Struthio camelus: one gene and its partner. The protein of the gene in region 2 purifies or fractionates together with the protein of the main gene of each other region. This does not show direct contact. Links are inferred from orthologs where the notes say so. Each region holds a gene or a part of one and is shown on either strand. Other genes may lie near its edges.

Region 1 (7,854 bases), on a different chromosome or scaffold from region 2:
AAATATTTTATTTAATGGACAGGCTTGCAAGTAGAGAAAGAAGTACAGAAGCCGCTGTTCACATTCTTGCCCAGAAAAAGAAGTGGTGCTGACAATGTAATTATGACACCTAAGTTTTGACTTGCAGCTACATCTGCACCTGTTAAATGGCAGATATTCTTACTACTACGGGAAGTGATCACCACAAAGCATTTGTTTTCAGACAAGCCCTGTAAGGTTTATGAGGCCAAACTATTTACAACTTTTAAAAACTTAAATTTTAAGCCAAATAACCTGTTATTCATTCCTACTAACTGGAGAGTAAACCAACATTTACACTCTTAGAAACAGGAAGAACTTGCACAAGAGCTTCAGTAATAAAATTGTTTTCTGGTTTAGGGAAAGTGTTAAAACAGAACCTGCAACTAGCTAGTTACTGTGTATTAGATAATCAGTATATGAATAAGGGCTTCATTACACCTAGGAGTCTTATTAGAACCCCAACATCAGCAAAAGTAGAGCCACAGTCCTTCAATATTTGCATGGGCTAGAAACAAGAAATAAAATTGGATACTTGCAAGCAGAAAGAAAAAAGTGCTGAGCAACACAGAAAAAAAAGCACTGTTGTAGTAGGAAGCTGGTTCTAAACTTCTTTACTCATCAGTTAAAGAAAGGGAACGACGGCAGAGAACCGTGCTAGGTGTAACACAAGCTCTACCGCATTCCAGTAGCAAAACTTTCAACAGATCGCTAAAAGCAAAACTATTTCTGTTAAGAAAAAGTTACTAACTTATGTTCACAAAGTTTATCCACTGCAAGGAACTCAAGATATTAAAAGGCCTCGTGAAGGCTGTTGAAATCTGTAAGAATCCTAGCTTTAAAGGCCATCTTTGCACATCTCAGCAGTTTCTCTAAACTGACCTTTTGCTCTTAAAACAAGGTGCTTTGATTTCAACCCTACAAATTCAGCTGGAAGCCTCTATTGTGAGCTTCTCCTTCTCTCATCAATTAATGTAACCAATAACTAATGTGATAACTGTGCCTCAGTGAGATGTACGAACGCTATTACTGCAAGCAGGTTTTTGAGTCAGCTGAAACTGGAGCACAATACAGTTCGGTCAGTTAGAAGAAGGACCAAAATCCAACCCTTTACCTCCTCCCGCCCACTCTGTTTGCCTTGAAACAACTGTAACTAGTCCTGCCCCTCACTGAGCAAGCATGACTAATGCACACAAGGAATTGCGTGCACTGGTCAAGAATGCATCGCTTTTGCCCAGTCCCTTTTCAGATTTGGGTTTTATTTCACAACCAGACAAACTCCAACATTTGGCAAACCCATAGCAAGGACCAATTTACACTCGGGACACTGCATTCGCACACTTGCATTCTAACCTTATTCCAGGTTCTTAAGGTATGGTCCGATAATTATTACGTACACCAAACTATTAGAGCATTAAGGGCTGTTCAGACTGGAAGTGACACCTGCTTGAGCCATTTTTACTCCTGATGCTCTGGCACAGTAGAAGGGTCAGTAAACTTGGCAAACAAAGAGTTTAAGAGGTTCAAGTGAGGTAGGTTTCCTCACCCTTTCACCCAGTATAATTAGCACAATAGAGAAAGTAGTCCAACAGGGTTCTCAGCACTGCAGACAACCTGTGTTTTTAACAGAGGAAATAAGTGGTGTCATACCAGCCTCCTAAACCTCGGTTTGAGAGAATCCCTTGCTTGCTACAGCTGTAAGACTATGAGTACTTACACTGACAATTTCATTACAAATTCCATAAAGAAAAGCCAGGAAGCAATCCTCAGTTCAGCTGGAAAGGGCTCTCCCCCTCCCCCCGCAAAGTTCTTCAAATTAGTAGTAAAAGTAATTATAAATGTATTGCCAAATGACCTTGGACAATTCACTTCAACTTGATTTCTCTGCCTGAAAAATAAGGTTAGCAGAATATTCTTCATAGGGGTGCTGCAAGACTTATCACTTACAAAACAAAGTTCAAAATGTTATATAAATAGTTCACATTTTAGCTATTGACAAAACTACGTTTCAAAACAAGACTCTGGATACAACTCTAATCAACTGGTGGAATTTGGTTTGGCAGGGACCTAGCAGCAGAGCAACAAGGTCAATGTCAAAAACAACATTTAGGCAGCTTTATGACCCGAGAGAGTTTTAGTTATGTTTGATCGGGGCAAACAGCTTTTTCCGTGAAGAGGTTTGCATAGCTAGCCTATCACTCTAATAGAAAGGGGATATCGGCCCACCAAGTATCACATTAATTGCTCACAGAGACAAGACATAGTACTTTCAGCTGCAGTATAATATCCTTCCATTGGGATCTGCTATGCCAAGGAAAACTGACCTTCAGGATCACCAAACCCAAGCAATGCACCTAAAACAGAGTTTGCTCCAGGCTTAAACAAAAAAAAAAAAAACCCAACTTACCTTCACCCTCCCAGCCCTGCACGAAGCTCGACTCAGCAGCTAAAGATTTACCAAGCAAATAACCGCTCTTCGGAGTCTCGCCCGAGCCTCACCTCACCCTACCAGGCCATGGGGAGCTGCGAGCTCGGCTACCAGGAGCCTTGTCGGGGGGAGGAAGCGCAGGAAAACTCTCGCCGCTCTCGGGCGGGGCAGGCCGGAACGAGGGAGTTTGGGGCGGCCGGGGAAGGAAGGCCCATCTCGCCGCATCCCGTCTAATCCCTCCGGCAGGGGGAGCGACGCGGGGCCTGGCGCAGAGCTGCAGCCCTTCCTCACCCCCTCCCCCTCCGCCTTTTCCCTCCCTTCTCCACCCCCCGGGCTGGGCCGGCGGCTCCCCGCTGCCTGCACTGCGGCCTGGCTGCGGCGGCGGCTCCCTCCTCCCGCCGCCAGCCAAGCGCGGGGCTGGAAGCGGCCGGGCCCGCAAGGCCTCGCCGCCGCCTCAGCGCCTCACAACCCGCCGCGGACCTCGGAGAAAGGACCGTAGGTTGAAAGGAGGGCGGCAGCGGTGACTTACCGGCGTCGGCTGCTGCTGCTGCCCCGGGCAGTGGGTCTGGCTGTGCTCGGGCAGTCCCGCTCGGAGCCGGCTTCCCCCCCTGCCGCCGCTCAGCCTCTCTCCGCCCAAGCACACAAGATGGCGGCGCTCGGCGGCCACGTCAGTGCCAGCCCCGCGCGCGGCACCACGGGTAACCGAGGAGGGCAGCGGGAGGCGGGGCCGGCCGCCGAGGGGGCGGGGCTCCGCCTGCGGCGGCGGCGCTGCAAAGGGGCGGGGCCGGGCGGGAGGCCACGCCCCTCCCTCTCCTCTTGCCCACCCCACCCCCGCGGGTGGGGCGGGGTTGGCGCGTGGGAGCGCGGGCGCGGGGCGGCGCGAGGGCTGTGCGCGTGGGAGCTTTTCCTCCTCCTCCTCCTCCTCCTCCTCCTCCTCCTCCTCCTCCTCTTCCCCCCACCTTCTCCCTGCCGCGGGGCCTGGCGTGCATGCACCATGCAGCATTGCCCCGTGGACGGCTCCTTGGGGACGCATGCACCATGCAGCGTTGCCCCGAGGCCGGCTCCTTGGGGGCGCGTGCACCATGCAGCGTTGCCCCGAGGCCGGCTCCTTGGGGGCGCATGCACCATGCAGCATTGCCCCGTGGACGGCTCCTTGGGGACGCATGCACCATGCAGCGTTGCCCCGAGGCCGGCTCCTTGGGGGCGCATGCACCATGCAGCGTTGCCCCGAGGCCGGCTCTTTGGGGGCGCATGCACCATGCAGCATTGCCCCGAGGCCGGCTCCTTGGGGGCGCATGCACCATGCAGCATTGCCCCGAGGCCGGCTCCTTGGGGGCGCGTGCACCATGCAGCATTGCCCCGAGGCCGGCTCCTTGGGGGCGCATGCACCATGCAGCGTTGCCCCGTGGACGGCTCCTTGGGGGCGCGTGCACCATGCAGCATTGCCCCGAGGCCGGCTATTTGGGGACGCATGCACCATGCAGCGTTGCCCCGAGGCCGGCTCTTTGGGGGCGCATGCACCATGCAGCATTGCCCCGAGGCCGGCTCTTTGGGGACGCATGCACCATGCAGCGTTGCCCCGAGGCCGGCTCCTTGGGGGCGCATGCACCATGCAGCATTGCCCCGAGGCCGGCTCCTTGGGGGCGCGTGCACCATGCAGCGTTGCCCCGAGGCCGGCTCCTTGGGGATGCATGCACCATGCAGCATTGCCCCGAGGCCGGCTCCTTGGGGGCGCATGCACCATGCAGCATTGCCCCGAGGCCGGCTATTTGGGGACGCATGCACCATGCAGCGTTGCCCCGAGGCCGGCTCCTTGGGGGCGCATGCACCATGCAGCATTGCCCCGAGTCCGGCTCCTTGGGGGCGCATGCACCATGCAGCGTTGCCCCGAGGCCGGCTCCTTGGGGGTGCGTGCACCATGTAGCATTGCCCCGAGGCCGGCTCTTTGGAGGCACATGCACCATGCAGCATTGTCCCGAGGCCGGCTCCTTGGGGGCGCGTGCACCATGCAGCATTGCCCCGAGGCCGGCTCCTTGGGGGCGCATGCAGCATTGCCCCGTGGACGGCTCCTTGGGGGCGCATGCACCATGCAGCATTGCCCCGAGGCCGGCTCCTTGGGGGCGCATGCACCATGCAGCATTGCCCCGAGGCCGGCTCCTTGGGGGCGCATGCACCATGCAGCATTGCCTAATAATACCACATTGCGGGATGGTGGAATAGCACACGGACGTTACAAGGTTTAAAGCGTGCCGACGATGCAACCCCCTGCAAGGAGAGTGCATTGAGCGTACGGGCTTGCGACACGCAGGACCCGCTTTGCAGGGCCGTGAGCTGTCTGAAATCCCCGAGGGGGAATCTACAGGCTGTTTTATCCAAACTAAAGCAGGACTGCAGGGAGGAAAAAGGCAAAAAGATAGCTGGTGGGATGTCCCAAGCGCTGGCTCTGGCCTTTCGCAGGCACCTGGGGCGCCTCGGTTTCCCCTCTGAGCCGGAAATACCACTTTTGTCTTTCTTGCCCCGGCCTGGGCACGAAATACTTCCTCCTCTAAAGCGCAGCAGAAATTTGAAAGCAGCAGGAAGCAATGAAAACTCCTTCTTTCTGCCCCCCTTTTCCCCCCCGATGCTCATAGGAAATTAATACCTCAAAATCCTCCGTCCCGCTGTCAAAGGTGGCTGAAATTGCCCGGCAGCTGAAAACATTATAAAGGGATGAGGGAAGACAGACGGGCATGAGCTCAAAAGCCTCTTTTCCTAAAAAAACTAGGTCACGCACGAGAGCGGTGGCAGAGATGGCAGGAGGGAACCCGGACCGGAGCCGGCGCTTGTCCCCCGCCGCCTTGGGGCAGCAAAGCTCACTCTGTACAAGCAGGTAGGATTTAATACGACGATTATTTCACTTAAGGAAGCACCTATGATACGTTAGGTCTCCCCAAAGGTGCACAAAGAGCCTGGAGAGGTCCCAAAACGTTGCAAACACGTTGAGGGGTTTGGGCAAAAGAGAAATGTGGCCTCGGCGCTCTGAGTCATGATGCAAGATGCAGACTTTGCCCGGTGACTCATTTCTGGGAAGAAAAAGGCCTCTTTTTGCAGCGGGGCTGAGCAGACCTGTTCCTTTCCTTTCTTTTTTTCTGCCCGTTTCGGAGTGGGGACGCCGGGGAAAAAGGAACCTCCGCTTGCCCGCCGGGTGCTAGCGGCAGAGCAGCAGCCTCGTCTGCTTTCCTGGCGCGGCCTTTTCGGAGCGGGACGGGTTTTCCTCGCCTCGGGTGACGAATCCTCCAGCATGGCTACACCCTGTTCTCGCTGGCTTTTGCAAAAAATAAAACAATAAATAAATCGTGTTTGTCCAAGGCGATTTTCTGAGGTTGTAAAAATATCCGCGAAGGCTCGCTTGCGAAACGCTTTTCCTTTCCCGCCTGCCCTAGAGAAGAAGAAGAAAAAGAAATCCCCTTAGGCTGGATTTGCTTGAGCTCCGAAGGATTTTAGGGACAGAAGCGGCTTCAAGTGCAAAGCCTGGGGTTTGGGGGTGACACTGGGGCGGGTGCCCACGGGCGAGGGTCGTTCACTGCTCTGCTCTCGGCCGTGGCGGCACCTAAGGCCCCCGTTGGCCGCTTTGGGTCGAGGGTTTCTCACCTTCGAGCTTGTCACATGCTGGTGAGGACGGCGATTGCTGGCAGGAGCTGCAAAATCACCCCCGCCACCAGCTATTGGCTACCTTTCCCACCGAAAAAATAGCGACTACGGCTTGGATTCGGGGTCTTGGAGTCACCTGTTGGGCTAAGAGATCTAGACCTGGTGCTCATGTTTTACCATCCTGCTAGCAAAAGGCGGGTGGGTTTGGGGAGAAAAGCAAGCTAAACGCTACCTGCAGCAAAATTATGCAGCAAAATCATAATTTTGCAGCAGGAGCTTGCTCCAGCTCCATCAGTGAAGTGGAGCTGAAGGCCCAGGTGGGAGCAAAAATGCTGGAGGTGAGTGGAAAGCCAGCTGGGTCCCGTCTCCTGCAGCCCTGCAAACAGCCAGAGCTTTGGGTTTTGCCACGGTTTCTCCGAGAAAAGCCGACTTTGGGTGCAGAGGGACGCGTGCAGCCAGAATTCCCGAAAGGCTGTTTTTTGAGAGCATCTCAGATGTAGGACCGAAGCACGGAGAGCCAAGACAGCAAATTGCCCTTCCATCGGTGACGCCGGCTCCCTGGGGATGGCAGGGAAATTACTTCAGCTCTCTCCGCCTCGCTTTTTTTCTCCTTAATTTGGAAATAGCTCCACTGAGTCACTCAGCGAAGCGCAGGGCTGGTGTGAAGAGCTGCGCCTAAGGTAGGTATCGCTAAATTTTTGGCGCTGCTGCTGCCACCTCTGGAAGGAGCTCCCATGGTGCATGCAATGGGGCCCCTCCCGGGGTGACCGTCGAGGAGTTGCCTTCATGTCCTCAGCGCCTGGGTTGGAAAACACATTCTGGCTAGGTGGAGACCACGTCGCAACCCGCTTGGCCTGGCCCAGAAAGTCACCTGGCGGTAGCTAAGAAGTATTCACTGACCGTGACGTCTCCACGTGGCTGGCGCCGAGTAAATCTGGATTCGGGTGCTTGCAGCGCCGGTAGCAATGCGTTCCTGAGTACATCTGGGGGATCTTCACCGAGGGCCGCTGTCCTCCTTTCCCTTCCTTCGGAAGCAGCCAAGCCTCCTGGTTTTAGCGGATGGTTTTTAGGAGGGTGCATTAGTGTCGTTATTTCACCCAGCGTCCAGGACCGGCGGTGGGAATTGAGCAGCAGAGCCTCTAGACCAGATAGCAGCGTGGGGTCATGCCGCAGATGGTCTCTCCGTCCGCCCTTCCCAGTTTTGGGTTTAATCCTCAGCTTAATTTTAGTGCCAGACCTAACGTGCTGCAGCTGGAGACCTGCGCCAGCTGCCGCGTCCGCGGGGCCAGATCTGTGGACCACCACATGGGATGGAGATGGGGACGAGCACTGTTGTCCGTGGTGCCAGCTGTGTCCCACTGGTGCCTCCAGGTCTCCCAAATCAGAAACATGGCAGGACCACGCAATTGCCCACAGCACAAGGTATTTGGTAGGGTCAGCTCCTTAGAGCTGTCTGGTCTTCCTAGGATCCTCTAAAGTCTCAGCTTCCTTTCCTTGTTACAAAGATATTGTGTCCTTCTGGACAAGATATTAGCTCCTGCAACCTGGATAATTTTGAGCTACTATGGGGTTACCTAAGGCTTCGAGGGGCAAAGGAAGGAAGAGCCACAACCATTTGGGGAGGTCACAGGCCTCATTTTAACAGCAGGTTTCTGGACTAGATGTTAGTTCTTTGTCCATGGGGAACATGCAGCCCTTCAGGGAGTGGTGGGAACCCTTCTGAGGTGTGAACTGATGGGCCAACTCAACTTGGGCCCAATAGTAACTAAATAAGGAAG
Region 2 (7,891 bases):
GTCTGGATTTGCCTGCAAGCTGCTCTGGAAACAGCCTTTACAGTAACACCCTCCAGGCAGTTTTATCATAGCTATAGTGACCTAAGAGCGTATGCAGGAGACTGTAAGAGTAGATACATCACGTTAGACTGAACATCTATCTGCTCCCAGTGTGCCATCCCAAGAACTGGTTTATAACAGCTGCTTAGCAAAGCGTGTATAAACAAGGCATGGCTATGGTGAAACCTCTTTGGTACTCTCTCTGTCTCTGGCAATTTGCAGATAAGGGACTTTCCAAGCCAGAAGCGTTATCTTTGCCCCTGACAGCTATTTCGTTCATTAATTCGTCCAGTCAGGTTTTGAGGTCACATGAACTGTCATCATCTGTAACATCATGCAGCAAGAAATTCCACCGTTTAACATACCTCTGAGGAGAAGGAGGAAGCTGTATTTCATAAGATCAACTAGTACAGCTGAAAAAAAGACAGGCTGCCAGGGGGTGCCGCCTCTTCTTCAGGTCTTGTATGTCTGAAAACTTATCTATTTGCCTCTAGACAAATCACCTGCCTTGGGGGCGAGGAGGAGGGGGAAACCTCTTGCTCCCTAGACGCCTTGCATCCCACTTTTAAAATGCACTATTTAAAAAATCAGGCAACAGATTCAGCCCATACCAATGGTTCCTCCCTAGACCTGAGGTCAAAAAAAGTCCCAGAGAAGAGGATTTCAGGTCCTCTTCACAACCCAGACACCCAATCCTCCTTTTAAAGCAGATATTTTAAGAGAAGTCAGGGCTGCTTATCTAGTTGGGGAAAAAGGAGAAGAGAAAAATTCACAGACATGGGATTATTGGCCAGGCACAGCAGTGCGTATCAGGAGTTATTCTAGTGACTACAAGCGTGCTATTCATTACAGCAATCGGTTTGCTCTGCAGTACTTGCAGAAACATGCCAAGGCTGCTGTGATTCTGTCCGACTTGCTTCGCGTTTGCGATTTGCCTAACCTTTGCTCTAAATAAATGGGATCTGCACAGAGGGAATTTTGAGGCAACGACCCTGCTTCTACAGCATCCCCTGGGCTGCATCCTACAGAAATTGATATGGTCTGCTTTAAGGGAGAGACAGAGAACAGGCAGGCAGGCAGGGAAAAAAAATAAAAGCAAAAAAGAAGAATGGAAATGCAAGCTATCTAGCCCACAAAAATTGAGAGTAGCCTACCTTTGGCTTCTATCATGTTATTTATCCTACTTTAGAATTAAATCCAGATGACATAGATAAGGCGGTGGTGACCCCTAGTGCCCTCTCCAGCTGCAGCTTCCACCGTAATTCCCCATATTGATACCTGAGCATAAAGAGAGGCAAGAAGCAGCACCTTTCAGATTTGCTCTTCATTCACAAAGCCTCCCTCCCTCTCCCCTTTCCAAAACAGGATCTAATTTCGTCGCTCTATTCAATCTCTATTGCCGCGAGGCATTCACTGCAGCATCCCTTTGTCACTGCTGTCTGAGACCAAAATTAAACAAGTCTACTCATGTAACAAATGATTATATTCCTTTGACTCTTTACCATAGTACATTTATATCTATTATGCTTACAGAAAAGAAAGAAGAGTCCATTTTGCCAACTCCGAGCTTGTCAACAACTAAGGACGGCCATTCAAAACCCTGAGAGAGGAGCGACGTCTTGTATAAACTCCTAACGGGCATCTTCCGGCAGCGGGGCGCTGAAAGGGCTGAGTCGACCCTGCGGCAGGCATCGCTATGCAGCATTTTTTTCTGACAATGTCAATAATCTGTTCCTGTGAGTCAACCTGCACCATAACTGTCCCACAGCGCAGGATGGACTTCAGAGGCCTGGGCCTATTGCTGCCTCGTGGGAATAACATCTATTTAAAAAAAAAAAAATCTTAAACCACCTCTGTGCAGCTTACTTGGCGATGCAGGAGTTTCCTCAAGGAAACAGATGACCTTACATAGTTCTGAAAAGTCTTTAGCCGCTGACAGCGGAGGGCTTTGTGCCCCTGCCCCTTCGCAGGGGCCATGTGCTGGGCCGGGTACCGGGCCGCGTGGCCACCCCTCGGCGCGTGGCACCGCCACCGCACGCCTCTCGGGAACAGGGTTGCGTCCACGTTCCTCTGGCACCTCAGATGTATCTGATAGGAGCTTGCAAACATCTCCTAAGGCGGGGAAACACCCGCTGATTTGGTCTCCAGCTGCGGGCATCACGATGCTCTCACCCTGGGAGCCGAGGCCCACCAGAGAGCAGCAGATGCCCCCATGCAGCTCTACAGCCTGTCTCAACTTCATCTGATGCCTTCTACATTTGTCGTCTTCCCCTTCCAGAAGCACGTTAGCCGGCTGCGGCTATCGCGCTCGTCCCAGAGCGTCTGCTCAGCGCGTCCCGCCACCGGCACCGAGCCTCTCCCGGCAGAGCTGAGATCCCAGGCGGGATCCCAAACAGGCCGAGCGCCGGGCAGCTGCGTGCCTCTCTCGCAAGAACCTGCCCCCGCTGGGCAAGCCCTGACGCCGCTTTAGCGTTTCTCAAACCCAGACTAACTCCCCAGCGCGAGCCGGCTTGGGAGCCCCTCCCAGGGCTGCGTTTAAACTCCCCAGCTCGGCAGGAGCCCACGACGCAGCTCCCACCCCGCTCGGTCAGGCCCAAGGGCGGAAGCAACCGCGCTTTCTTTTCCCTTGGCTTTGCAGCTCTTTTTTCCCCCTGCTCGAGGAGTACTTACTGCGCTAAGTCAGACCGCTCCTACCCCTCGCGCCCCAGCAGCGCTGTCGCTGCCCGCGCTGCTGTTCCTGTTTCTCTGGTCACCGGTTTTATTTCTTCGCAACAAACAGCTTCCACGTATCAACTAGCCCTTCCGCCTCTACATCTTCTCGTGGCGTCTTGCTTTCTTACGGCTGGCTCCCTTTGGCGCTGGTCTTGGGACTTACTTCCCGCCGAGGGCTGCCGTGGGAGCCAAGCTGCTTGCTTCCTGCTACTCCCCGCTCCTTCCTCCCCTCTTTGGTCAAAAAATTGCCAGCACCCTTCTCGCTAAATGAGCCGCTGGCTGGTGTTTTTTATCACGATTCAGCTCATCCGATGACTGATTAGTCTGAGGCGAGGAGGGCTTTATGCCTCTGTAAGGGGCCTGCCACCCTGCAACAAGTCTTTTCCTCGTTTCAGGGCTAGACAGGCAGGTTGCAGCTAACAACACTGTATATGGTTGGGTTTTTTTTTTTTTCAGTTTTAATACAAGTTCGTTATCTGTTCTGGACATATTTTTGTTCTGCTCATGTGCCTGCTCTGTGAATCATTTGTGCCATGTTCTGTATCTCTAGACTCACGTGTACCCTTGCTTAAATTAAAACCAATGATTTTTGAGTTGACATTCCTGGCTGTTTGTTCCCAATGTCTTATTCGTAAAGTAGGTTCTGAATGGGAGATAGGAGTATGCTATTAATTGTATAATTATAAATAGGCTTTGCTTGGCTTAAATATCTGGGTCGGCGCGAGCCCACGACGCAGCTCCCACCCCGCTTGGTCAGGCCCAAGGGCGGAAGCAACCGCGCTTTCTTTTCCCTTGGCTTTGCAGCTCTTTTTTCCCCCTGCTCGAGGAGTACTTACTGCGCTAAGTCAGACCGCTCCTACCCCTCGCGCCCCAGCACTTTGCTTGGCTTTGCTTGGCTTAAATATGCTGGGTCCGGTCTTGTTCAATATATTCATCAATGACCTGGAGGAAGGGACAGAGTGCACCCTCAGCAAGTTTGCTGATGATACGAAACTGGGAGGAGAGGCTGACACACCAGAAGACTGTGCTGCCATTCAGGGGGACCTGGACAGGCTGGAGAGCTGGGCGGAGAGGAACCTCCTGAAGTTCAACAAAGGCAAGTGCAAGGTCCTGCACCTAGGCAGGAATAACCCCCTGCACCAGTCCAGGCTGGGGGTTGACCTGCTGGAAAGTAGCTCTGCCGAGAAGGACCTGGGAGTGCTGGTGGACAACAAGTTAAGCATGAGCCAGCAGTGTGCCCTTGTGGCCAAGAAGGCCAATGGTCTCCTGGGGTGCATTAAGCAGAGTGTTGCCAGCAGGTCGAGGGAGGTGATCCTGCCCCTCTACTCAGCCCTGGTGAGGCCTCACCTGGAGTACTGTGTCCAGTTCTGGGCTCCCCAGTACAAGAGAGACATGGCACTCCTGGAGAGAGTCCAGTGGAGGGCTACAAAGATGATTAGAGGACTGGAGCCCCTCTCCTATGAAGAAAGACTGCAAGAGCTGGGCCTGTTCAGCCTGGAGAAGAGAAGATTGAGAGGCGATCTCATCAATGTGTACAAGTATCTGAAGGGGGAGTGTCAAGAGGATGAGGCCAGCCTCTTCTCCGTGGTGCCCAGCAACGGGACAAGAGGCAACGGGCAGAAACTGAACCACGGGAAGTTCCACCTAAACCTGAGAAAAAACTTCTTCACTGTGAGGGTGACAGAGCATTGGAACAGGTTGCCCAGGGAGGTTGTGGAGTCTCCTTCCCTGGAGATATTGAAAACCCGTCTGGATGTGATCCTGGGCAATATGCTCTAGAGGACCCTGCTTGAGCAGGGAGGTTGGACTAGATGATCTCCAGAGGTCCCTTCCAACCTAAACGATTCTGTGATTCTGTGATTCTGTGATCTTTTGTCAGCATAGTGCTGGGAAATCCTCAGTGACCCGGTGTATCCACAGAGTCCACATTGCTCACGTTGCCTTCCTTAATTTCTCTTTTTCCTCTATTTTAATTAAATATATGCAAGAATCTTATCCTCTGAGCCACTGTTTGCTTCTTTCACAGTGATATATACTGTTTCTTTAGAGTTTCTCCTCCCTATTAGCTCTAGGAAAGCCCATTTTCTTTTATTTGGTGTTCTCACTACGTATGATCCCACATACACAAAGCACTCCAAAATATCTCTCTCTGTAGCACACACATCTTCTCTTTGTATAGATGTATTTATTTTTTGAAAAATTAGTGTATTTTTCTCTGTATTCTTCTGTGTTCCCATTTTACTTGGTGCTCGCTGCATCCTTTCCAGTTATGCTCTGGATCTGCGTAAAAACTCCCTTTCGGGCTTACATATGCCTATAGCTACAGGCAGGATTAGTTCAGTGTCTCTGAATGTTTTCATTTAAACTCTAGCATCTTTCACTCCCACTATTAAAAAGTGCTCCCAATTAGCCCATCACTTTAACTTTTAATTATCACATGAATCAGCCTTTTTTGCACACTTTTGCAACATGCTACTTTGCTGGTTCCTTGGCTCATACTATTGGAGAGTTATTCTTGTGAACTGGAGATGTTTTCTTGGACGTCACCTGAGTCCTCTCAGAGTGTTGTTATGACAGGACCTGAATGTCAGAATAGACATCTGCAATAGATCCGTCCAGTGAAACAATTCACCAGAAGGTGAAGTAGAATCCTCATAATAAAAATACCTGTATTAAAGACTGGGTTTTTGTCTTCCCAAAGGCTACCCTTGTTCAAGGAGAATATAAACCCTACAGCTTCTCATACACAGCATGTCAGACCAGCTGATCATAATAGTTCATTCTGGCTTTCGTGCTTAAAAACCTACAAATATCTGGACAAACTGCAACCCCATCTGGTAGAGAGGCAGTCAGACAAGATTGTTGCCTGCAGACAAGACAGTTGTTGTTTCTGATCTTAAATGCTACAAATTCACACACAATACTACTGAGACACGCGCTTCTTCCCACAGCGACTAGTAATGCAGCTGTTTTTATTTTGTTTTCCTTTTTGTCTTGCCCTGTTGCAATTTTCAAAGTTTTCCTGTTAGAATCTAACGACTGTCCTAATATGTATGAAAATCTTCTTCCCCTGCATCTTTTGGGGGACAGAAATTCAGTACGTTGCCGTGACTTTTGTTCTGTCAGTGTTTCCCCAACGGCCTCAGTTTCTGATTTCATGTAAATCCACGGGATGACTCACTCCAAAGAGTTTATTCAGTGCTCCAGAGGAGAGGACAGCGTGCTAAGCTGGAGGCAGCTTTCAGACTTTGCTCCTTACTGCACCACACTTGGCAAGCACTTCCTACAAGCGCAGTCCCCAAACCTTCCCGTGCTTGAGCCATAAGGCTTAACAGCAAGGACGGTGCTATCCTGGTGGCAGCGTGGCCAGCCCCCATAAATAAACTCCAAACCCAGCCCAGTCTAGCTGATACTGCTGAGCTCTATTTCACAGCACATTTCTGAGCCAATTTTGTTGCTGAAACCTAGTTCTGTAGCTACTTAAAACGGGTCTTTTTCCTGTGGCTTTGAATAGACACCCTCTGTGCTAGGACAGTAGCTAGCAACCACAGGCCCTAGGCAAGCAGAGAGGTAGGGTTTGGTTAGCAGTCTTCTTGGACTAAGGAAACCTCAGGCTGTCACGCTGACTTTGTCCGTGACACCACATCTGCAAATTGTCACTTCTGCATGTACGCAGCCTCAACCCGCTTAGTTTTCACCTGTCTCTCTTCAGGTGAATAGAGCAACCAAGTACAAAAACAGCAATTACAACTTGGTACTTAACGAAATTAAAATATCAGCTGCCATCAGAATGATTTCAGCCACTGAAAATGGGCAGGTGGGGCACAAGCCAATTTCAGATGTATACCCACATGCACCATGGCCCTGGCTCAGGCCTGTATTACTAAGACACTGCTGTAATACAGAAGCGCACAGTAATACCCACAGCATGGTATGACGCCCTGGGGAGTTCTAGCCCCTTACTGTGACCGTTTGGTCTCGGGGTGATGCAGCAGGAACACACCATCTCGCTGGTCACCCACAAACATGGTTACGACATGAGGAGAAAAGAGGCCTTCTAAGAGAGATCCAGAGCAGCACTTCTTAATGACACGTAAGAGTGATCACAAGAGGAAAAAGGTGGGGTTAAATGAACCGCAGAAGGTATGAGCTGAAAAGCCCCATAGGCTTACGCAGCACCAGGAGCCCCTTTTCCTGCCAGAACAAGCCAAAAAGCTTTGAAGGGGAGACAGAAGGAATGCCATCCAGCAAAGACGCACGCAATGGCTCTGAGTTAATTCTGTTTCCCTTTGACCAGAAAGTTTCCAGGAGAAGGAGCTGACACACCACGCATACCCACGCAGCGCAACCACCCTGGGCTTGGAAACTGAGGGCCTCCGAGCAAATGGAAGGAAGAAAAACACAGGCAAAAGCAGATTCAACCTCCCCCCGCCCCCCCCCCCCAGAAGACACATTGGAAAGGTTTTTATTTTTCTGTCAGTTAAACCGAAAATCTATGAGGAAGCATAAAGCAAGTCTCGACAAGAAGCTATTTTACTCTTTGTCAAGCACACATGCAAAACGGCTACAAGAAATGCTGTGTACTGTCTTTCCAGAATTTAAATCAAACACAGAACTGACATCAGTCCCAGTTCTCCACTACTCTGCTTCCAATTTGCTTGGGCAGCCCATTAAAAACAGTAGAAAAAGTCTGTATTCCTATTTTTTTTAGAGTCTCAGTCATTTTGCATAGTCGAAGTAAAGAAGACATAAAAACAGGCTCTGCCTGAGGATGAAAACTGAAAAAGGAAGGACAAATGAAAAAATAGTTGAAGAAAATCAAAATCTTCTGCACAACAACCCTACAGAGTGCATGCAATCATTTCTATTTTGACTCACCAACGTGTCAGCTTCACAGCCCCCAGAACTGCTCTTCCAGTGGTGGACTCTTGTCCTCCTTTATCTTTAATTCTCTCCACAAATCTGGGAAGACTGGAGTATTAGAAATTGCAATGTGCTCAGCAGAAAAGGTACCCAAGTCTACAACACAGAATACATCATCTTCACCTGGATGTCTTTTTCAAGGAAATAAACCGAGCACATGGGTTTATCTGAGGCTCATATTCAATTAACCGAGCAGAACAGTATTTACCTACGTGTA

What was found.
Region 1: the proteins of PLD1 (region 2) and ARF1 purify together in Homo sapiens (affinity purification with western blotting; 3 studies listed by BioGRID, with this or other methods). This does not show direct contact. The link is inferred for Struthio camelus from reciprocal best matches to the Homo sapiens genes PLD1 and ARF1.

What each region holds. Positions count from the first base shown.
Region 1 is NC_090943.1:3,582,212-3,590,065, reverse strand, and holds the start of ARF1 (ADP-ribosylation factor 1), read right to left. Parts: upstream 3,214-7,854; 5' UTR 2,976-3,213; exon of another isoform or gene 2,426-2,975; intron 1-2,425. UniProt on the Homo sapiens protein: Small GTPase involved in protein trafficking between different compartments. Modulates vesicle budding and uncoating within the Golgi complex. In its GTP-bound form, triggers the recruitment of coatomer proteins to the Golgi membrane.
Region 2 is NC_090950.1:27,440,228-27,448,118, reverse strand, and holds the start of PLD1 (phospholipase D1), read right to left. Parts: upstream 3,097-7,891; 5' UTR 2,710-3,096; intron 1,318-2,709; exon of another isoform or gene 1,194-1,317; intron 1-1,193. UniProt on the Homo sapiens protein: Function as phospholipase selective for phosphatidylcholine. Implicated as a critical step in numerous cellular pathways, including signal transduction, membrane trafficking, and the regulation of mitosis.